Linked DNA regions of Arabidopsis thaliana. The protein of the gene in region 1 purifies or fractionates together with the protein of each later gene. This does not show direct contact. Each region holds a gene or a part of one and is shown on either strand. Other genes may lie near its edges. The genes, in order: CARB, Fes1A, AT3G18860 and AT1G36280.

Region 1 (6,353 bases):
CATCCCTACACATCTTGGATTCCAATAACGTCAGTACCAACAACTTTGTCTTTTCTTCATTTTCATGGTTCATGCTAAATCTTGAGATAATATGCTTTCTTGATTTATGACCTTTGGTTTTAAATCTGGAACAGTGTCTACATCTGTCTGCGAAATTGCACCCAACAGCTACGGAGATTTTCCCTGACACTCTTTGCGTAAGATTCTCAATCTCTTAATTCCTTATTGTTACCTTCTTGTTCACAGTGCACACAGCTTTTTGACCATGATCTCTCTCTAGGTGGCTGGGCAAGATAACTCTCGAGACCTACATTTCACAGTTTCACATCTGGTTAAGGTTAGTGGGATCTACAAATCGAAGCATATGTTATTATAAAGAAACTTCACAATGTGGTTAGTGAAGCCTTTATGGTTAACATATGTTAGTATAACAATAATTCTCAATGTGGTGCAGATCGAGTGTGCCAAATGGGCAGCCAAAGTTGCTATTATCAATCATCCCAGAATACCCAATGCTCAACTTCATGCTCACCACGGCCATCTACGTCTTGGTAAAAAAGCATCGGTAAAACCATTCTATGCTTTTATCGTTTTATTACTTCTTACACTTTTTTTTTCCTTCTTCATTCAGGTATCTGTTCGACTTTTCGAGCTAACCAATACATTAAAATCAGTTTTCATACCCACGAAAGACGACAAACGGCTGCTCCACAACGTGATTGCTATGGCTGCGATATCATTTTGTTTATATATTATCGGTCTTATTCTTCTCTTGATCCCACATTAACTTTTGTACTAGTCCCTGATCCCTTATTGTCCAGTTGCACCATTATCAAAAAGGATGACGACTCTGAACAAATGTTTCCATTACAGAAGAGACGTCACAAACCTGAGAAACACAAAGTTAAAGTTAGTTGCACAGAGAAAAAAGCTTTTACTACTATATCAAACGTGCAAACACATATAATACTACTATATACAGTTAAAAAGATTGATTCTATAGAGAAGGACATGCGGTACTAGAAAAGTTTGCAGTTTAAGGAAACCTTACCAGATGCGACTGTTATATATAGTACATTATCTGTTTAATCTACTGTAAAGTCAGCAGAAGAGTTGATGATCTGAGCGAAAGCAAAAGCAGTAAGTACCTGCGACCGCATTGACTACAAAATAAATGCGGTAATTAGTTTTGTAATTCGTTGACTTTCTTATTTACTCATTTTAAAACCGATTTGGAATATATACTATATTTAAAAGTCATATAGAGTATAACTTTAATAACATGACACGAATAACATTTGTTTTTAATGAAATAAATCTATATCAAATAATATTTATTGGATTTACTACCAATAAAACTCCATTCATTATAACACCATTTTATATTTTAAACACTCTTGAATAAAACAATAATATTCTAATTTCCAAAAATTTAATTATTTTTTTAAACCAGAGACATAATATCTATCATATTATGGATACGATTCCATAAATGACGAAATGATACATTCTAACCAAAAAAAAAAAAATCATTTCTCTTTGCAACTTTTTGGAAGAGTTAATTATCTTTTTATGTCATTTATCATATTTTCCCAATAATTGTTGTTGAAAAAATGGATTGTCATAATCAAATACAGCAGGATTGAGAAAGACAAAATAAATACCAAACCGGAATAATCCAAATTTCGAGAAACCCTAAAACCCTCTCTCTCGTGTCTCACTCTCTTCTGCAGCAGTCTCCAGTTACAGAGCCGACACAGGCAAAACTTAGAAGAAGAAGAAGAAGAAGAAGCAAAAATGAGAAACCATTGCTTAGAACTCTCTTCCAATTGTTCCTCCATTTTCGCTTCTTCCAAATCCAATCCTCGTTTCTCTCCTTCCAAGCTCTCCTATTCCACTTTCTTCTCTCGCTCTGCCATCTATTACAGATCAAAACCAAAACAAGCCTCGTCTTCTTCTTCCTTCTCCACTTTCCCCCCATGTCTCAATCGGAAAAGCTCCCTCACGCATGTTCTCAAACCCGTCTCAGAGCTCGCCGACACCACTACCAAGCCTTTTTCTCCGGAGATCGTCGGCAAGAGAACCGATCTGAAGAAGATTATGATTCTCGGCGCTGGTCCGATTGTCATTGGACAAGCTTGTGAGTTTGATTACTCTGGTACTCAAGCTTGTAAAGCCTTAAGAGAAGAGGGCTATGAGGTTATCCTGATCAATTCGAATCCTGCCACTATCATGACTGATCCGGAAACTGCTAATCGGACTTATATCGCTCCGATGACTCCTGAGCTTGTCGAGCAGGTTATTGAGAAAGAGAGGCCTGACGCTTTGTTACCAACCATGGGTGGTCAAACCGCATTGAACCTCGCGGTTGCTCTTGCTGAGAGTGGTGCTTTGGAGAAATACGGTGTTGAATTGATAGGAGCTAAGCTTGGTGCGATTAAGAAAGCTGAAGATCGTGAGTTGTTCAAGGATGCGATGAAGAACATTGGGCTAAAGACTCCACCTTCAGGGATTGGGACCACTCTTGATGAGTGTTTTGACATTGCTGAGAAAATTGGTGAGTTCCCTTTGATTATCCGTCCTGCGTTTACTTTAGGTGGTACTGGTGGTGGAATTGCGTATAACAAAGAGGAGTTTGAGTCTATATGTAAATCGGGTTTGGCTGCGAGTGCGACAAGTCAAGTTCTTGTGGAGAAATCCTTGTTGGGTTGGAAAGAATATGAGCTTGAGGTGATGAGAGACTTAGCTGACAATGTTGTCATTATCTGTTCCATTGAGAATATTGATCCTATGGGTGTGCACACTGGTGATTCCATCACTGTGGCACCTGCACAGACTCTAACGGATAGAGAGTACCAGCGGCTTAGGGATTATTCCATTGCGATTATACGGGAGATTGGTGTTGAGTGTGGTGGATCTAATGTGCAGTTTGCTGTCAACCCGGTTGATGGTGAAGTTATGATCATAGAGATGAACCCTAGGGTCTCAAGATCTTCTGCTCTTGCTTCCAAGGCTACAGGGTTTCCCATTGCTAAAATGGCTGCCAAGTTGTCTGTTGGCTATACCTTGGATCAGATTCCTAATGATATCACGAGGAAAACACCGGCTAGCTTCGAGCCCTCCATCGATTATGTGGTGACTAAGGTTTGTCATTCCATACTTTTGGCTTTATTTGTGTTGCGAAATGAGATACGCTTGACTTTGAAGATTTACACACATCTATCCACTTCATGATATATAAACTCAAATGCATATTTTGCTTAACGATATCTATTTCTTTACCATGCAGATTCCTCGATTTGCATTTGAAAAGTTTCCAGGATCTCAGCCATTGCTAACGACCCAGATGAAATCTGTTGGGGAATCTATGGCTCTCGGCCGTACATTCCAAGAATCTTTCCAGAAAGCTCTGAGGTCTCTGGAGTGTGGATTCTCGGGTTGGGGTTGTGCAAAAATTAAAGAGCTAGATTGGGACTGGGATCAGCTGAAATACAGCCTAAGAGTCCCAAATCCTGACAGGATCCATGCGATATATGCTGCCATGAAAAAGGGTATGAAAATTGATGAAATCTACGAGTTGAGCATGGTGGACAAGTGGTTCCTAACCCAGCTTAAAGAGCTCGTGGACGTCGAACAGTATCTTATGTCCGGAACCTTGTCAGAGATTACAAAAGAAGACCTTTACGAAGTCAAAAAGCGGGGATTTAGTGACAAGCAAATCGCTTTTGCTACAAAGACAACCGAGGAAGAAGTCCGTACCAAGCGGATTTCTCTAGGAGTTGTTCCATCTTACAAGAGAGTGGATACATGTGCTGCAGAGTTCGAAGCGCATACACCATACATGTACTCTTCATATGATGTTGAATGTGAATCAGCTCCAAACAACAAGAAGAAGGTTTTGATTTTGGGTGGAGGGCCAAACCGCATTGGTCAAGGGATTGAATTTGATTACTGTTGTTGCCACACATCTTTCGCCTTACAGGTATGTCTTTAGACAATCTAAGCGTCTCTCCCAAAAGCCAGTAAACATTGTTTCAACTTTTTTATGCTAAACTTACTTATCTACTTTTTTTAATTTATTTGCAGGATGCTGGATATGAGACCATAATGTTGAACTCAAATCCTGAAACAGTATCCACAGATTATGATACAAGCGATAGGCTCTATTTTGAACCTCTCACAATCGAGGATGTTCTCAATGTTATCGACCTTGAGAAACCTGATGGCATAATAGTGCAATTTGGTGGTCAAACTCCTCTGAAACTTGCTCTGCCGATCAAACATTATTTGGATAAGCACATGCCCATGAGCTTGAGCGGAGCGGGACCTGTTCGCATCTGGGGTACATCACCTGACTCCATTGACGCTGCTGAAGACAGAGAGAGGTTCAATGCAATTCTCGACGAGCTGAAGATTGAGCAGCCCAAGGGAGGCATTGCAAAGAGCGAAGCTGATGCATTAGCCATAGCAAAGGAGGTAGGGTACCCAGTTGTGGTAAGACCTTCTTATGTTCTAGGTGGACGAGCAATGGAGATCGTTTATGATGACAGTAGACTAATAACCTATTTGGAAAATGCGGTACAAGTTGACCCAGAGAGACCTGTTTTGGTAGATAAATATCTTTCTGATGCCATTGAGATCGACGTTGATACCCTTACTGATTCCTATGGAAATGTGGTGATTGGTGGAATAATGGAGCATATCGAACAAGCTGGTGTGCATTCTGGTGACTCAGCTTGTATGCTTCCAACACAAACCATCCCAGCTTCTTGTTTGCAAACTATTCGAACATGGACCACTAAGCTGGCGAAGAAGCTAAATGTATGTGGGCTGATGAACTGTCAGTACGCAATCACAACATCTGGGGATGTTTTTTTGCTGGAAGCCAATCCCCGAGCTTCCCGTACTGTCCCTTTTGTGTCAAAAGCCATTGGACACCCTCTTGCCAAGTATGCAGCGCTGGTCATGTCGGGCAAATCTCTCAAAGATCTTAACTTTGAAAAAGAAGTTATCCCTAAACATGTCTCTGTGAAAGAAGCTGTTTTCCCGTTTGAGAAGTTCCAAGGATGCGATGTGATACTCGGGCCAGAGATGAGAAGCACAGGAGAAGTGATGAGCATCAGTTCTGAATTCTCAAGTGCGTTTGCAATGGCTCAGATCGCTGCAGGTCAAAAGCTACCTCTATCAGGCACAGTCTTCCTCAGCTTAAACGATATGACCAAACCGCACCTGGAGAAAATCGCGGTGTCCTTCCTCGAGCTTGGGTTCAAAATAGTTGCCACCTCGGGAACAGCTCATTTCCTGGAACTGAAAGGCATTCCAGTGGAGAGAGTGTTGAAGTTGCATGAAGGAAGACCACATGCTGCTGATATGGTGGCGAATGGTCAGATCCATTTGATGTTGATCACAAGCTCGGGTGATGCTCTTGATCAGAAAGATGGGAGACAGCTCAGACAAATGGCTCTAGCATACAAGGTACCTGTTATAACCACTGTTGCTGGTGCATTGGCCACTGCTGAGGGAATCAAGAGCTTGAAGTCAAGTGCCATTAAAATGACCGCTCTTCAGGACTTCTTTGAGGTAAAGAATGTATCTTCTTTGCTCGTCTGAGTTAGTTTTTTTGTTGTGTGTTGATCGTTTGTGTGGAACTTTTTTACGATAAATTTTAACGGATTTTGTTACCCATAAGCATTTCTATGAATAATCTTCGAAAATGCAGCAAACTTGTGATTTATCAATCGGCTTTGTTCCTTTAATTCAGATATACACAAGCCTTTGATTGTATCAGGTCATGTAACGCTTGGCTTAAACTCGAGTTATGTTCTATAAGATTGTGCAATTGTAGAAACAGCCTCTTCATTTGAGCGAACCCAAGAACATTCCATTTGAATTTTAGTTAATACGAGACTAGTATGAGAGAAAATTGAGTTTGATTAATGACAAATCATACAAAGTCTTGCAAATTTACATCTGAAAGTCTCAAACCATCACATACAACCTTCTCTTTCTCCTCATGTCTCTCACTCGAATTCAAAAGACTGAAAGAAAAGCAAAATACAAACTGATAAAACTTGGCTCACTTTCCGGGAACAAAGTTGGTTGCGAAGGCCCATGCGTTGTTGTTGACTGGATCGGCCAAATGGTCAGCAAGGTTCTCTATCGGTCCCTTACCAGTGACAATGGCTTGAACGAAGAATCCAAACATAGAGAACATAGCCAATCTTCCGTTCTTGAGCTCCTTCACCTTCAACTCCGCGAAAGCCTCTGGGTCGGTAGCAAGACCCAATGGGTCGAAGCTGCCACCGGGGTAAAGCAAGTCCTCGGCCTCTCCCAACGGCCCATTTCCTGCGACT
Region 2 (4,507 bases), on another chromosome or scaffold:
TATGATAGAAAATGGAACCTGAGAGATAGGAGAGTAAGCTAAGGTCTTTGAGCCAAACTGTAGGAAGAACAATAAGAGTAGCTGATATAGCAAAGATCTGAGGAGAATCTAGAGATACTCCAACGATGTTTAATGTAATGTTGGGGAAAACTCTCGATAAATTATCGCTCATCATGATTATATACTCCACACAACATACGTATAACTCCATGTACAGAAGTATCTGCAACTCTCAAAAGAGATCAAGAACCCTATATATTAGTTTGGAGATATGTGAAGTATATATGTAAATCATTTCCATATAACTCACGGAGATGATGAGGCGGCCTGTAAATCCAAAGGCAGCTTGACCAATGTCCGGGTAGGTACGGAGATCAGAAGAGCTCTCAAGACATCGTTTGAGGAGGATACCGGTGTAGCAAGTGATGATAGCAAAGGATAAGAGTATACAAAGCCCGAGCCATCCTCCTTCTTTCACCGCGTAAGGCATTGTGAGTAGACTTATTCCACAAAGGACATTGATTCCTTCACCAAAAATAGGTTCAACTTAAAGAGAGATTGAAACTTTTCTTTTTGTTATGACGATAAAATCTATTCAACCGAACCGAATGCCTAAACCCTAAAGACTTTTGAGACAGAATCAATATCGATACTACTACGTCTTACCATTTAGAACAGATTGGGGAAACGAGCAGAAATTTGGTTCTCCATACGAGAGATCGGTGTTGGATAACCCGACCTGAGATGAAAGGAATGATACATCGTCTTTCTCAGAGAGCAGCGGTTGTTTGCTTGTGGAAGACACAAACGAATTTGCAATAGAGGTTGGACGTCTCTTGTATAAGGAAGCGATGGAGCTACTGAATGATGTCTCAGTACTTCTCCCTTGTATGAAACTGACCATAGGAGGTGTAACTCCGGTCAAGAGATCCACAGAGTGTCTGAATTTTACATGAAAAAAAGAAGGAAGAATCTTCACAAACACTTCAAATAATTTCGTTAGATATCGAAAAACAAAGTATTTTATTTTACCTATAACTCTGAGGCCAGAAAGCGGAATCATTCTGGGATAATGAAAAAGATGCATTGGAATCATCGTCGTCATTAACATATGAGACATCGACATGGCAGTCATCGTCATCTGTCTGAATCAATATGTCCCTTTCTTGCTCCTCAAGATCCATCTTCGTCGTCTCTGCTTCAAAACAGAGTTAAATCAGAGCAAGTAACAGATTCCAGGACAGAACAAACGAAACAGGAAAAAAAGGAGGGAACAGAGAAGTGAAATGAATATTGGAAGAAATATAAAGAGACGACGAAGAGACTCGGTATTGAGTTCGATGTGTTGTCACGTCTGACGTCTGTCAACTTTGTATTAGTCTTAGGAAAAAAACACTTTGTATTAGTCCATTGATACTACTTGATCATATGTAACGAATTAAATTCTGGTCGACTGGTCGTTAAATTTAGAGTGGAAGGTAACGTTCACATGTTTAAAAGGTCCAAAGTCAAAAGGTACATGCGTGGCATAGATTTGCCAATAAATTAAAGAAAAAAAGGTAAATTCAAGAAAGGCTTATCGAGCTAATTTAAGCCCAATAATACTGAACTATTTGGGCTTGAGTCTTAAAGGCCCAATTTGTGGAGGAGGCGTCATCGTCTTCGCTTTTCCTTTTCCCTTGAGAGGTCGTCGACGAGGTTTAAGATTTTTAAGAATGTTGTAGTAGCTTCGCGAATAATCTCAGGTCTTCTATAAAACCAAACTAGCGATTAGCCGACTCTTCCTCTTTATTATTACAAAGACGAAAAGGCTTCGAGTTTTGTAATTTCTTCTTCTGTTACAAGTTCTTTTCACTGTGAAAGTAATTCTTCAATGGCGAAAGACGGACCTAATTGGGATGGTTTGCTTAAGTGGAGTCTCTCTCACGCCGACGGTACTCGACCCACTCGCCAGTTGAGGTACGGACATTCATCTTGTAGTTGGTTTTTTAGGTTCTGTCTTTTGATTTGTCTGAAACTGATGGGATGCTTGGTGGGTAGTTTAGGTATCTGTGTGGCTATGATTGAGCTTTCACTTGAGGAGATGAATCTTATGAGTGAATTCGAATCTGGGTTTGTTTAAAGTAGTTTTCTTTTTTGAAGATATCTGTTCAGTTCATCGGTTTGGTTAAGATTCAATTATCGAATTCTGCTGTTATGTAGGTGAAAGGTTATCTATTTTCTCGTTTTTACATGAAACTCTGTTAATTTTTTTTAAGGGAATTCACGATTTGTTCATGTCAAATCATTCTGTATGTGTTTTATTGTGGATTGTTTTGTTGATTTGAGTTGTTTTAATGAGACAGTGAGGAGGATCGAAAATGGTTTATGGAGGCTATGCAATCGCAGACTGTAGATGTAGTCAAACGCATGAAGGAGATTACACTAGTTATGCAAACACCTGAACAAGTTTTGGTGGAACATGGAGTAACACCTGAAGATATCCAAGGTGCGTAATTTGTGGCTATAATACATAGCTTAGATCTTTATCTTTTGCCATTGTGTGTAGGGTACTAATTGAGTTTATTATTCTGGTAGATTTGCTGGATGAGCTGCAAGAGCACGTTGAATCGATCGATATGGCTAACGGTACATTATCTCTAACTTGGACTTTGCTTTTTTTTTTTTTTTTTTTTTCTTTCCTGTTCTGGTTAGCTCAATTTGAACATTGCTTGTAACAACTTGTTTACTTACTATTGTGTAGATCTTCATTCAATTGGAGGCTTGGTTCCTCTTCTTAGTTTCCTTAAAAACTCTCATGCTAATATTCGGGCAAAAGCTGCGGATGTCGTTAGCACAATAGTTCAGAACAATCCTAGAAGTCAGGAACTTGTTATGGAAACCAATGCTCTGGAGTCATTGCTCTCGAATTTCACTTCAGACACTGATATTCACGCTCGAACCCAGGCTCTTGGCGCAATATCATGTAAGCCTGCTTCTGATAGTTCATTTTTAGTAAAGATTGAGATGATCAAAAGCTTTTGTGATTTCTATTTTACTTGGTTTGTGATACTAAAAGAGACTTATCTTTTCAATATGGGATGTAGCTTTGATTCGCCATAACAAACCAGGAGTAACGGCTTTCAAGCTTGCCAATGGTTATGCTGGCCTAAGAGACGCCTTGGCATCTGATAGTGTGAGATTTCAAAGGTAACCCACACAAATATTCTTATCATCTGCGGATATAAAATCGTGGAAGATTCTTGAATTGTTGCTCATTTTCTTTATTCAAATTCTCCAGGAAAGCCTTAAACTTGTTGCAATATCTACTGCAAGAGGATGATTCAGACCGCAGTATTGCCACTGGACTTGGATTCCCCCGAGTGATGATGCATCTTGCCTCTAGTGACGATGCTGAGATCAGAGAAGCCGCTCTTCGTGGATTACTTGAGCTTTCAAGAGAGAAAAACGATGGAAGTAGCAGCATAGATAAAAGCGATGAGAAACTGAGGCAGCTACTAGAAGAACGGATCAAAGGAATCACCTTGATGTCACAAGAGGATCTTGAAACGGTTAAAGAAGAGAGACAGCTCGTGGATTTACTGTGGAGCATTTGCTACAATGAACCTTCTTCTCTGAGAGAAAAAGGACTTGTCGTTCTTCCCGGTGAAGACGCATTGCCTCCTGATGTCGCTAGCAAGCTCTTTGAGCCTCCTCTTAGAGCTTCTGCAGCAAACCGTAATGCTACTGAGAAGAAAGATGAACCTATGAAACTACTTGGACCATAGACGAGAAATCAAAGCTAAAACTTTTTATTACTTTTCCTTGTTTTTTATGTTTTGTAACTTTTCAAATTGTCAGAAAAGTTTCATAGATATATGTATTATGTCAATGATCAAGGGCTATGTTATGTTAATTTTTGTTTTCATCATTCGAGATCTTTAGTCTTGTTATTGTTGAGATTAAGAATATTCAGCTTCAATGCTTTTTCAATTCAACAAGTGTTCTATACGATTTCGGTTTAGCAACAGCTAATACGGACCCGATCTAATTGATCGGTTAAAATTGGTAACTTTGAATTGCGGTGAACCGAAGAACAAAACCAAAGCGAACGTCACAATTACTTTGCAATCCCTAAAGGGACAGAGTTCGAATCAAGGCAGTCTCACATATCGGAGAAATCTCTCGTCACGTCTCTCAGCTTCGCCTTCAACACCGTCGTCGCCGTCACGGCCAACTCCGGTATTGTTATATAGATACAATTACAGTGAACTAGATAATCTCATCAAACCCTGATTCTTTCCACTTCCTCGCACGATTGTGTGAAAACAGTTACTTTCGCTATAAATAGTCTGATCTTCTTTCTATTGAGCAGTAAGATTGGAAGCTGTTGTTTCGAATCGATTCAAGCCTCGAATCTGAGTTTCGGATCGATATTAGAAGCTAAGGTAGGAGCTTTTTGAGTGAAGGAGTTATGGTATGGTGTAACCATTGCGTGAAGAATGTTCCCGGAATACGCCCTTATGAT
Region 3 (7,800 bases), on another chromosome or scaffold:
GAGAAGCAACGTCGAATAAGCCAACTGCAGATTCTTATTTGGGGATGAATAACAGTTTGAGAAGGCATCAAGAATCTGCATTGATCCACAGCAATTAAAACCACTTCTCAAATTATTATAATAAACACACACATGTATAGGCACTATCTTATGTTTAAATGTAATTAGAAACTTAATTTATATGCCCAGACGCAAAAAAGCAATGTATATTAGACATAAAACCCAAAAATTTCTCCTCAGGTTGCAAGTCACAGCTAAACCAATTAGTAGGTTCATCGAGATCATCACACATCCTAGTTCTGGTATAAAATCATAGAAATGAAAGAGTCCTTACTTGACTATGATGCGTCTGTAGCCAGTAATGAAATGAAGAATTCTTGAATAGATTAACAAGGACACGAACAGTCGTTAAAAGATTTGCAGGAAGAGCAGAATCTTCTGTAACTTTCTTTATCAAATCCAAAAGCAGGTCTGATTGATATATAGTAACAGAGAGATACCAGTTAATAAAGGACATTACCTACTAGCTAGTACTTTCATTAATGTTGAGAAAGCATAGCTTCACGAATTAGATGATTACCATTGTTGTTTTCCACATGCTTGATAAGTAGACTTGCTCCATGATGATGCAAAACGAGCATCCTTACTATATCAGTAGCTGCATATTCAAAACCATAGGTATAAGAGCTTGACACAAGATAAACATAAGGCTATATCCAACAAAAGACAAAAATAAAGTGGCCAGCGAAAGGCAAAATGCTTTATGGCCTGCAAGAAACATCAAAAGAAACACAAGGAGACCAAGAATAACATCCAAATAAACCAAAACATATCTCATTTTAGATTGTTTAACAAGCATCTCGGAAAAAACTGACTTTGCTGTGGCTTCATAATATTGAGAAACATATGGCTACCATCAAAAGTTCAATATGTAATAAACAGTTCTGTTTGACTAATTGATTGACAAGAGAAGACCAACCAGGAAACATCATTGCCGGTGGCCATGCTTGTAGCACTTTCAAAAGCAAAGCAATATCCATGTCAGCAAAATTGGTAGAGTGGTAGTGTGATGTGTCCTTCAGTATATTAACGATTGCGCCTACTCTGGATACTTCGAGTTCGGTCAGGGACTTGTCATTGTTTACCTTCAAAAGATGGAAAAATTGTAGAAACATAAATACCAACAATAGTATAAGTAAAATAACCATTTAATCATTTTGTGTGACTAAAGTTGATACTGAAAGCTTACTGCGTCAGATCGTAAAGTAGTATTGAACTCTGTCATCTTTTTCAGAATCCCGTCATATTGAGCAGCATCGAAAACTAGCACACCTCTCTGGAGAGAGTTATGGAAGAAAAAAGGATCAAAAAGCTAGAAACATTAAACAGTAATAACTAATAAAGAAAGAGAACCAGCGTACTTTTGGAATGTGCTTGTATAAAGGTTTTGCCGGAGTTGCTGCAACAGAAAAGAGTCAGAGCATGAGGCAGCAAAAGAACAATACAAGAAATGAAGAAATTGAAAGTATTATGTGAAAATGACACAGACAGTGTATTCATACCAGCTGTACGAGATGCTTGCCCAGGCACATAAGCATTTGCTGTTACACAATAAAAGGCAAAACACAAAATTAAAATAAAATCCTAAAAACAAAATTTCAGACCAATTATTTTCAAAAATTTTATACCGCCGGTGAAGGGATCACGAAAAGATGGATTAAAGTTGAAGTCTTTCTGCCCAGAATTTTGTAATATAAATTCAACAATTTGCTGCCGATATGCAAAGGGGAGATTCTCTTTTAGAAGCCACTTGTCAGCTGCATCATAAGGATTGTCTGCCAAACAAGAAAAGATTTGAAGTATCAAAAACTGAAGCAGTTTCTTGTGGTTGCACTTGTAATAAAACAAGGCCAGTAAGAGCATTCAGGTACCTGATCGATTGTAAGGTAGCTTCCGGATAGGTTCCCCATCACCAATGTCAACATCGAAAACTAGAGAAAAAAAAGGGCTAAGAATTTTGTTCTTCGATTTTGAGAGATTCTCAAGTTTCCATAATAGGTCAAAATCTAACCAAAATCATATTGAACTCCCTCGTGAATTGGACGATCAGCCACACCATCTGGGCCATCAACAACCTCACCAATCTGAAAAAAGGCATGCAGTGAGAACTCAAAACATTCTACCACACTAAAAAGCCAATGTTTAATCCTTCATATGCAAACAAATGTTAGAGAGAAATCTATCTCATTTACTTGCTATCTACTTAAGAGATTGCTACTTCGAAGGAGGATCAGAAGTCAAAATCAGATGAAATTTTCCTCTCAGGTATGGGTTGCCACATTAAATAAAATCCTCGCAAAAGGCAAATTGCTGGCAGTACATGCTATCAATTTATGACCAGACAGCATGCTCATTCGTGGAAATTACAAGCCCTAATCCGATGGCAACTTTTCGATGAACAAAGTAACAAATATTCCTCAAGGTAATTGTTTCAAAGGGAAGTTATCTGTATATTCATGCATGCGATCTAATATATAGCAAAGCCGCATTCAGGTCAAGAGCAAAAACGAAATGCAGTCGACAAATAAAAAAAAAGATAAAAGTTCATTCTGTTTACTTACTTTGTCCCATCTCTGTTCTTTCATATTCCATGCATAAGCAACACCATTGTCTCCTTCCCTTACTACTTTTGTCTGGCCATCACTGGTACCTGAGAACATATATCAAATAAGAGAGGATGATGTTACAAGAATGCCAGCTTAATCTATTCAAATTTGATCGCCAGACACTATCAATTATCTTTGTGTTCTCTTGAGATTCTTTAAAATTTAGCCTTTCTCCCGTACGAAACATTAATATTACAATTAATTGGATAATAAATGGTACCTGGTGACGTCAAAGAATCAAGCCCTGGCAGCTCGTCAAGTTTCAATCCGCCAACCTTTTTCCTGAGATAAAGAACAGCACGCATATACTTTGCAGTTATATTTTGAGCATAAAAGACAAGAAAGCATACCCCGTCAGCAGGTCATATAATATGCATTGCCACGTGAAGAAAAAAAACTCAATGGACATAGAATTTAGTCGATAAGAATAGAGATCACCATAAATGATCAGATTACCTGCTTAGTTTGTATTGAGAAATTTGGGAATCATAGGCATCAATCTCCATCTGATCTGCAATCGCATCATGACGTACTGTCCAAACACGAACCACTCCATCTGAACATGCTGTCACAATATCTCCGGTTTCCAAAAACTTGGCATCCCAGATACAGCCTGGGTGTTCCAAACTCTGAACGCAGACTCCATCTGTACCAAAACAAAAATAACAAAGTAAGAACAATAGATCAACCTATAAGATCTAAACATGCTTTAAACCAAAATGTCAGTCTCTTTTCGCAAGTGATATCTATTATAACAGCTATTGCAGACCAATCTTCGTGAGCCTTTCAAACTGGTTTCTGATCAGTTGATTACTGTCTGACATACTAACAACTAACTTTCCATAGGTTGCAACTAAGTGATCAAATTTATAACACGTCTTCCACAAAAATATGATATATAGACATCTTTATTATTGAAAGAAAACTTTAAGAGCGAGCAACATACTGAAAAGTGGAGACATATTTTCCAAATTTAAACATCTCAGACCTCATATAACCTAGAAAACTGTGAAACATAAGTGAAGAACAGCCAAGGCATCAATAGAAACTAAGGAACCCGTAATCACCTTTCCATATCTTGGCATGACGATCTTCACTGGCACTAACAATAAGGCCAGACGAATGTGCGTCAACTGAATAAACAAGGGAGGTGTGGCCAACCATCTCAAGAAGAACTTCGCCACTTAGTGCCCATAACCTGATTGAACTGTTAGAAAAAATAAAATAGTGATTTACAACCTTTGCTGTGTACAAACACATGAAAGGATAAATAAGAGAAAACTCAAGTATCATATTATCCCCGGATCACAAAACTTATCCAGGTCATGCAAAAGACAACACAATTCGAGTTAAGCACATAAGGATTCACTTGGACAATGAAATTCAGTAAGGCATGAGTTTGTTGGAAGCAAATAACTTACCCATCATGTGATGCGGAAAGAAATCCTAAATCAGGCATCACAGCTAACCCTCTAACAGTATCTGCATTGTAAAATAAAAATACTTGTATAAGACAATAGTTTCTCCAATAACAAGGAATCCCTGACAACAGGCCAGTGTCTTGGCACTTCACAAGATAAGATATCTTAGAGCAGCTAGTATCAGATTCTATCTTATTTCCGGTATGCAGTTTCTCATATTGACAAGGAAATTTTGAGAGATACGAAATTTGGGAGAGAGTAATGAATTCACCTGTATGCCCTGAAAGAGTTTGCAGACTCGTTTTACCCTTCCAGAGTTTGAGACTGGCGTCACTTGAACCTGGTAAGTACAAGTAACATCAGTGAAAAATATGCCGTCAAGCCTAATCAAAAAGAAGTATATGCATCTTAAGAACAACCAAAAAATCATTTAACCTAAGCTTGCAAAACGATCATACTAGAAAATACAATCGAATAAGGAAGTCCATGGCAGCAAGAAAACAACAAAAAAAACAGAAACAAATGCATCAAATGACAGCTTTAGCTGGATCATGTACCTGAAACGAGCTCACCAGATGGCAGCCTTATCACTGCCTGGATAGGCGACTGGTGTGCATCCCAAGATTCAACAAGCTGACCGTTTCTCCATCGTTTCAGGGTTCTACAAATAAAAATAAATAAATGTAAGTTACATTACACAACAGTAGAGGGTAAATCAAAATTTGATGGATCTCTTTACCCCAGTATTACTAAAGCTAGTAAGCTACTCAAGACAATAATGCACACAATTAACACTCATAAAACCTTTACAACTACGGTTAAGATTCATATAATATCCTGTATGTGATACAATTCCTGGGAAACAGTGAAGGAAAACCGCAGGCTAGTACACTCACTGGATACTAAGTAAGAGGCATTATTGACTAAACAGTTGGTAAATGTCATACTAAGGAAATTACATGAACAGGAGGACTTACTGATCAACTGAAGATGAAACTATGTCCTCATTATCAATAGCAACACCAGTGACTTGCATCTGATGACCCTTCAATGTCTGAATATTCTCTCCATTCATCAGATTCCAAACAAAAACGAAAGTATCCATACTCCCAGAGACAAGTCTTCCTTCAGGGTATTCATCAGTTGGTGGGATCCATGCAAGTGGCCCAACAAAGCTAGTATGACCCAGCAGAATTTTCTCGGAGGTATACTTGCGCTTATCAGATGGATCCAGTGACCAAACCCTTATGGTCCTATCTCTTGATGAAGTAGCTATATTCTCATCATTACACACACAAATCCCACGAACCTGAAGATGTTGATAAACCATGAGTTTCCATTGTCACAATCACAGTTATTATTCAATTGCATAAGCTCAATAGCATAAAGACAATCACACTCCTGCCGAAAAATTGTATAAATTTGATCTATATTAATGCCATTGGCACGCAAGGTTAAACATCAAACCCTATTAGATAAAATTCTCAAATTGAGTACAAATTCGTTGAGAAGTCAACCTAATAATAAAACTAATCAAAACAAAGCTTCACACTAACTATCAAATCAGCTCATTGAATTGAAAAACCCTGGATCAAAAGCGGAACAGTGAAATTGGAATCACGAGGGTGAATTTTGCTGAACCCTACTGAATACAAGACTTAATTTCAAAATCTAGAGTAGAATCGATCACGAAAACGAGAAATCAAAACAGTAGAAAGAAGAAGTGGATTTAGCAAAGAGATCTTACATCATCATCGTGGCCATGAAGCTCGCACCTGAGCTTGTACTCGTTGAAATCGATATCCATGACCATGACTGAGAAGGAGAAGCAGCAGATTGAGAGATACCAAACGCCAAATTGCTGCGACTCAAAAAGTGACTTGAGGAAGGAGAAACACTCTGCAGGAGAAAAACTAATTTCTTATTTCCTTTCTTTTATATAAGGATAAACGTATAATAAATAACCTTTGTGGGCTTTCAAAGCCCGGCCCAATTGATAGACTGAAAATAATAATAAGCTGAATAAAGGGAACAATGAAACACGATGACGTGTCGAATTTAATAATGACGAAAAAGGAGGGGACAGTGGTTTAAATTTCCTCACCTTCCTAAGAGTACTACTTTCTACGAGAAGTGGCATAGACCGTAATTAGCAACAACCTCTGAGCCTATTTTCACAAAACGATCGTAGTCCTTCATGATATTTTTCTCGGCCATTAAATTCTTCTTCTTCTGCACTGTTTGTTTATAAATAAAACCTGGAAGCTCAGTTCCATGGTAAGCTGTCTTCTTCTATCTGGTTCCTTTCTCTGTCTGAATTTCTTTTTTCCAATAATAAATTTTACAAATGCTGTGTTCTTGATTGGCTTTTTTAATCCTCACTGAGATTTGTGCTTGAATCTTGATTATCTTGGTGAGAGTTTTTGTTTTAGACAATGTATATATGTGTTTGAGAATACAAGCTTCTTCTTTATTTTAATCCAACATTAATCAGATTGTATGAATTTGAATAAGTCTATTAAATTACAAGACATTGTTTTCGTTTTCTGTTGATAAAGTACTTTGCTATCGATTCTTATTTTGATGTGTCTTTGATCATTACCTGCAGGTGAAGTATGTTGTGTTCAACCATATGAGCTCTGATGGTGATTCTGGTAACAGGAAATTCATGAACTTTGTGATTCATTGCATCAAGAATAGAAGACTAGAAGGGGGAGGTTAATTAGATTATCTTAAGGTGTATAAAATGGAAAAAAAGAGTGTACCAAATTCTGATAAGTTGTCTCTGATTAGAGTGTTAAGAGGTATAATATGTCTGATGGTGTTAGTTTCAACAGCTTTTATGATGTTGATATTCTGGGGGTTCTTATCAGCTGTAGTGTTGAGGCTTTTCAGCATTCGCTATAGCCGTAAATGTGTTTCCTTCTTCTTTGGCTCGTGGCTCGCCTTGTGGCCTTTCCTCTTTGAGAAGATTAACAAAACCAAAGTTATCTTCTCTGGTGATAAGGTTCCTTGCGAGGATCGAGTATTGCTCATTGCAAACCACCGAACAGAAGTTGATTGGATGTACTTCTGGGATCTTGCACTGCGTAAAGGCCAGATTGGGAATATCAAATATGTGCTTAAGAGTAGTTTGATGAAATTACCTCTCTTTGGTTGGGCGTTTCACCTCTTTGAGTTTATTCCAGTTGAGAGGAGATGGGAAGTCGATGAAGCAAACTTGAGACAGATAGTTTCGAGTTTTAAGGATCCCCGAGACGCTTTATGGCTTGCTCTTTTCCCCGAGGGCACAGATTACACGTACGTTTCCTTTCTTTGGAGTATCATTCTTGTTTAGAGACCTTTTAGTTAAAAGCATTTTACAATGGAACTTTATGCAGAGAGGCTAAATGCCAAAGGAGTAAGAAATTTGCTGCTGAAAATGGCCTTCCGATACTGAACAACGTGCTGCTTCCCAGGACAAAAGGTTTCGTCTCCTGCTTGCAAGAACTGAGTTGCTCACTTGACGCAGGTTTGTCTATACTTTTGCTGGTTTGCATCAGTGATTTAAGATCCTAGGCCTTTCCTCTCTTCTTGAAAAACGCAAACTCTGATGCAACACTATTGCACTTGCAGTTTATGATGTGACCATCGGTTATAAAACCCGCTGCCCATCTTTCTTAGACAACGTTTATGGAATTGAGCCATCAGAAGTTCACATCCACATCCGTCGT
Region 4 (4,684 bases), 3.2 Mb from region 1:
TTGATGGTTACTTGCTTTCCTCTTTATCGGTTTTGCTATTTTTTGGTTTGACGTCGGTGTGAGGTCTCCATGGTCTTATTGGTGCTTCCGACGTTCACAGGTTCTATAGGAAAGCTTGGCGAGATCTATCGTTCCTTTGTTCAATTTTAGCGCTTAGGTTTCAATGTTTTCCTATGTGGTTCAGTGGTTCTCTCTTTTCTTACATTGGTTTCTGTTTGTATATTAAGGGCTTGATTGGTTCTCCCTCTGCCACCCGCAAACGCTGCGTTTGCGGGTGGTAGCGGTTATTAGCGGTTGGCACCAATCATAGAAACCGCTAGATACCGCTTTGGACCGCTCGAAATCGCCAGATTTCAAAAGCTCATTCCCGCAAGCGTTTGCGGGTGCGGGCGGTAGCGGTTAAGTTAAAAAAAAAAAAATTAATTCATTAAAATAATTATATCTTCCACCCAAACCCTATACTTATTCTTATCAGAAAACCCTAATCAATATATTGAAACCCTATTCTCTCAATTATGGCATCCACCCAAACTGACGAAAATCAAAGTCAAAATTAAGAATCAAACGTAAGTATGATCTATCCTTTCATCCATTCATTAGCTAGTGTAATTCTCGGAATATTTCATGGCATCGTTTTTTTTTTTTTGGTTTTTTTTGTGTTTTTTGATTGAATACATGTTTTGATTTGTTTTCTCGATTAGAAAATCATTTGGTCAGACGAGACCACATTTGCGTTACTTCAAAGACTTTGATTTCTAAGTGATGTTCAAAAAGAAAATATTCTTAAGAATATTAACGTTTGGAAAAATTTTGAGTTGGAGATGTGTTAAAAATCGTTTGGATATCTTGAAGAAACTTTATCATATGTATAGAGGCAATCTAGAAAACCCGTGAGGTCAACGTTATTTACAGTTTATCACACTACTTGATGCAATTTTTGGTGATTTACCAAATGCATAAAGTATTAAGTTTTTTCTTACAAAATCTATTTATTTTTGAATTTTCAGTTTTATTTATGGTTTTAATTATTAAGCATGTTTAATTTTTCAAATATTATCAATTTATCATAATAATATATTGTATTTTTTCTTTTAATAGTAATATATTATATTTATTTTGGTTATTTTTTATTTAATTATTATCGCACCCGCTGGTTTACCAGTCATAAAACTCCCGCAACCGCACCCATTACCAAACGCTCAACCAGTCGTTCAAAACACTTGATAACGCTTGAAACCGCAACCGCCCGTTTCCGTAAACTCCCGCAACCGTAACCGTACCCGCTGTATTTAAACCAGTCTGGCCCTAAGGCTAGTGTACGTTAGTTTCTCCAAATTTGTTTGGGCAAAACTTCCCTCTTCCGTCTGCCGGCATATGTAATTTTAACTTATATCCTTTCTTTGGTTCTTAATAAAATTCAGATGACAAAAAAAAAAATCGCAAACAAATATAACTTAATTCAAATCAAGAACAAAACGATAACCAAACTAAATTAGAAATGATTTTAATTTCTGTATAACCGATAAAATAAATAGCAGAACCAAACCAAACCAAACCGCGAACCGATCTCGCACTCATATTGCTCTCTTTCTTCTTCTCTATATGCTCTGTTTTCGAGTAAATTGCCATAAACCCTAAATCACACAAAAATGGAGCTCAATTTATCTTCGATGGCCACCAAAATCCCTTGTTCCGGCCTTATACCCATAAGAAGTCTTTTAAACCCATCAAAATCTCTGTCTCATCTTCCAAGAGTTTCATTCTCTGTTTCTTCTCCTCATTCTCTCAAGCTAATGACTTCAACAAAGGTAAAGCCTTTCTCTAGTTTCAAGCCTATTTACTTTGTGGGTTTTTGTATGTAATCTGATAAATGAATATACTTTAGTTGATAGCAATGGCTAGTGCAAGTTCCAGAGACTTTGAGATGTCGAATTTAACAGCATTATCGCCTTTGGATGGACGTTATTGGGGAAAAGTTAAGGACTTGGCTTCTTCTATGAGCGAGTTTGGATTGATCTATTTCCGAGTACTTGTCGAGGTATTGGGTTATGTTCTGATTCATTGATTGATTAGGAAGATTGGTTTTGTTTGAGTAGTTAGCTAAAGTCTTCAACTTTGTACTTTTGTTAGATCAAATGGCTTATTAAGCTTTCAAATATACCTCAAGTCACTGAAGTTCCAAGCTTTAGCAAAGAAGCTCATAAGTACTTGCAAGGTATAATCGATGGATTTAGTATGGATGATGCATTGCAAGTTAAGAAGATTGAGAGAGTGACAAATCACGATGTGAAAGCAGTGGAGTATTTTTTGAAACAAAAGTGTGAATCACATCCAGAGATTGCTAAGGTTAGAAACCGTTTCTTACTCTTCTTAGGGTTTGGATGCTTTGATTGATGATGCATTGACTAAATGTCTCGTCTTTAGGTTCTAGAGTTTTTCCATTTCGCTTGTACGTCTGAGGACATCAACAATCTTTCCCATGCTTTGATGCTTCAAGAAGCACTTAGTTCGGTTATACTTCCTACCATGGATGAGTTGATCAAGTCTATCTCTCTGATGGCTAAGAGCTTTGCATATGTACCTATGCTTTCACGAACTCATGGGCAGGTAATGTCCAAAGAGAAGTATTATTTTTCAGTTCTATCTATCTCTTTGTTAAAGCAATGGTCATGATTTATAATGCAGCCAGCTTCACCTACAACATTGGGGAAGGAAATGGCGATTTTTGCTGTGAGGTTAAGTGTAGAAAGGAGATATCTTTCAGAAACTAAGATTAAGGGGAAATTTGCGGGTGCTGTTGGAAACTACAACGCGCATATTTCCGCGTATTCTAATATTGACTGGCCTCATGTTGCAGAGGAGTTTGTTACTTCTCTTGGATTAACATTTAACCCATACGTGACTCAGGTATATATATAGTTTCTCTTGATCAAATTTTTCCTGGTGGAATGATTTGTAAAGTTCCTCACTGGTGGTTTTTGCAGATTGAACCACATGACTATATGGCTAGACTTTTTAATACAATTAGCCAATTCAACAATGTCTTGATTGATTTTGACAGAGATATATGGAGCTACATATCTCTAGGTTACTTTAAGCAGGCAAGTATTAACAAAAATATGTCCGAGTCATTTGAAAAGGAATGGGAAAATCTGTCTCATTGTTTGAAATTTTGATGCAGATAACTAAAGCGGGTGAAATCGGATCATCGACAATGCCTCACAAAGTGAATCCTATTGACTTTGAGAACAGCGAAGGGAATCTAGGTAAAGCAAATGCAGAGCTTGCTTTTCTCAGCATGAAGCTTCCCATTTCACGAATGCAGGTTTGAGCATACTCCACTAGATCTTGCTAACAGTAATGGTGTAGAAGTAAGTAAGCCTGAAAATTTAAATGTACATATCTGCAGCGTGATTTAACAGATTCAACTGTCTTGAGAAACATGGGTGGAGCTTTAGGACACTCTCTTCTGGCTTACAAGAGCGCGATACAGGGAATTGGGAAGCTTCAGGTATTATTATTTCCGTTGCCCTAAGAAAGAAAGGTCTTCACTTGTCATAGACTAAGGATGTTCTTGATATAGGTTAATGAAGCTCGGTTAAAAGACGATTTGGATCATACTTGGGAAGTCCTCGCTGAACCGATACAAACTGTAAATTTCTCGAAACTTTCTAGTCTTATTATAATGATCAAGTTATTATTCCATGTACATTGGTAACTGAAGGAATAAAAAAAACAGGTGATGAGGAGATATGGTGTTCCAGAGCCGTATGAGAAGCTGAAGGAGCTAACAAGAGGAAGAGCTGTGAATGAAGAAAGCATTAGAAAGTTTATTAAAAGTTTGGAATTGCCTGAAGAAGCAAAAGACCAACTTTTGAAGCTAACTCCACACACATATGTTGGCGCTGCTGCTGCATTGGCACTAGCCGTGGATGATGCTGTGCACTTGGGACATTAATAATATGATCATATTGGTGTAGATGATTCTGCTTGTTGTATTATGATTTTCTTTTCCCAAATCCAATGGGAAAACAAGAATCAGTTTATTGATCGTTGTGTTATGTTTCTTTTTTGAGTTTCAATTAATCTAGAGCCTCGTTTTGATCTTAAGCGTCATGAATTATATAAGTTGTGTGTGGTCAATGATTCTCAAACCAATAAAAAATTATGGTTATTAAACAGACCAATAGATTGAAACCTGATCCAAGGGCCATCTTGCTTCCATCTCAACATGTCTTTTTAGTCGAAAAATACTTTTTCGGCCAAATGATGGTGAGTTTGTTTTTTCTTTTTGCTTGGAAATGATGAATATTCCTGAAATATCTATCTTTTAACATTCGAGCTACTAAAGATTTTAGATATTGTATCAATCGTCAATACTGTTTAGCCACATCATTGAACTCTCTAGGGAATGAAATCACAAACCTCCTTCTTTATCCATACACATTTTCTCTCATGCTATCCAATGAATCCTACAATCTCTTCCATTAGAACTCCACCAGTAATTCAAAATTGCACTCATTGACTTACTTGATCATTGTCTCTTTCCCATATTTTGACAGATACTTAGCTGACTAACCATTAACCCGTTCATTAAATCTTCCCAAAATAGTTAACAATTTTACTTTTTGAACCCTTTAAACTCTCTAGTATACTTAATAGGTACCCATTCCACATTCCTTAG

What was found.
Region 2: the proteins of CARB (region 1) and Fes1A fractionate together in Arabidopsis thaliana (co-fractionation; one large-scale study listed by BioGRID). This does not show direct contact.
Region 3: the proteins of CARB (region 1) and AT3G18860 fractionate together in Arabidopsis thaliana (co-fractionation; one large-scale study listed by BioGRID). This does not show direct contact.
Region 4: the proteins of CARB (region 1) and AT1G36280 fractionate together in Arabidopsis thaliana (co-fractionation; one large-scale study listed by BioGRID). This does not show direct contact.

What each region holds. Positions count from the first base shown.
Region 1 is NC_003070.9:10,466,367-10,472,719, forward strand, and holds CARB (carbamoyl phosphate synthetase B), read left to right. Parts: upstream 1-1,589; 5' UTR 1,590-1,797; coding exon 1,798-3,144; intron 3,145-3,289; coding exon 3,290-3,982; intron 3,983-4,086; coding exon 4,087-5,610; 3' UTR 5,611-5,845; downstream 5,846-6,353. Other genes in the region: RWA4 (O-acetyltransferase family protein), read left to right, coding at 1-29, 135-197, 281-337, 455-551, 632-787; CAB3 (chlorophyll A/B binding protein 3), read right to left, coding at 6,077-6,353. UniProt on the Arabidopsis thaliana protein: Large subunit of the arginine-specific carbamoyl phosphate synthase (CPSase).
Region 2 is NC_003074.8:2,869,343-2,873,849, forward strand, and holds Fes1A (Fes1A), read left to right. Parts: upstream 1-1,627; 5' UTR 1,628-1,873; coding exon 1,874-1,959; intron 1,960-2,045; exon of another isoform or gene 2,046-2,345; coding exon 2,346-2,488; intron 2,489-2,577; coding exon 2,578-2,628; intron 2,629-2,743; coding exon 2,744-2,965; intron 2,966-3,086; coding exon 3,087-3,189; intron 3,190-3,280; coding exon 3,281-3,767; 3' UTR 3,768-3,990; downstream 3,991-4,507. Other genes in the region: AT3G09340 (Transmembrane amino acid transporter family protein), read right to left, coding at 19-223, 311-525, 667-941, 1,033-1,184; AT3G09360 (Cyclin/Brf1-like TBP-binding protein), read left to right, coding at 4,454-4,507.
Region 3 is NC_003074.8:6,499,874-6,507,673, reverse strand, and holds the start of AT3G18860 (transducin family protein / WD-40 repeat family protein), read right to left. Parts: upstream 6,007-7,800; 5' UTR 5,901-6,006; coding exon 5,835-5,900; intron 5,397-5,834; coding exon 5,065-5,396; intron 4,749-5,064; coding exon 4,645-4,748; intron 4,428-4,644; coding exon 4,359-4,427; intron 4,149-4,358; coding exon 4,088-4,148; intron 3,874-4,087; coding exon 3,734-3,873; intron 3,313-3,733; coding exon 3,123-3,312; intron 2,949-3,122; coding exon 2,887-2,948; intron 2,711-2,886; coding exon 2,622-2,710; intron 2,145-2,621; coding exon 2,072-2,144; intron 1,992-2,071; coding exon 1,932-1,991; intron 1,836-1,931; coding exon 1,689-1,835; intron 1,602-1,688; coding exon 1,563-1,601; intron 1,460-1,562; coding exon 1,422-1,459; intron 1,337-1,421; coding exon 1,250-1,336; intron 1,146-1,249; coding exon 980-1,145; intron 659-979; coding exon 581-658; intron 472-580; coding exon 335-471; intron 76-334; coding exon 1-75. Other genes in the region: LPAT5 (lysophosphatidyl acyltransferase 5), read left to right, coding at 6,834-7,387, 7,468-7,598, 7,703-7,800.
Region 4 is NC_003070.9:13,638,951-13,643,634, forward strand, and holds AT1G36280 (L-Aspartase-like family protein), read left to right. Parts: upstream 1-1,557; 5' UTR 1,558-1,649; coding exon 1,650-1,808; intron 1,809-1,885; coding exon 1,886-2,038; intron 2,039-2,130; coding exon 2,131-2,346; intron 2,347-2,424; coding exon 2,425-2,607; intron 2,608-2,685; coding exon 2,686-2,907; intron 2,908-2,984; coding exon 2,985-3,101; intron 3,102-3,181; coding exon 3,182-3,325; intron 3,326-3,409; coding exon 3,410-3,511; intron 3,512-3,583; coding exon 3,584-3,652; intron 3,653-3,739; coding exon 3,740-3,958; 3' UTR 3,959-4,172; downstream 4,173-4,684.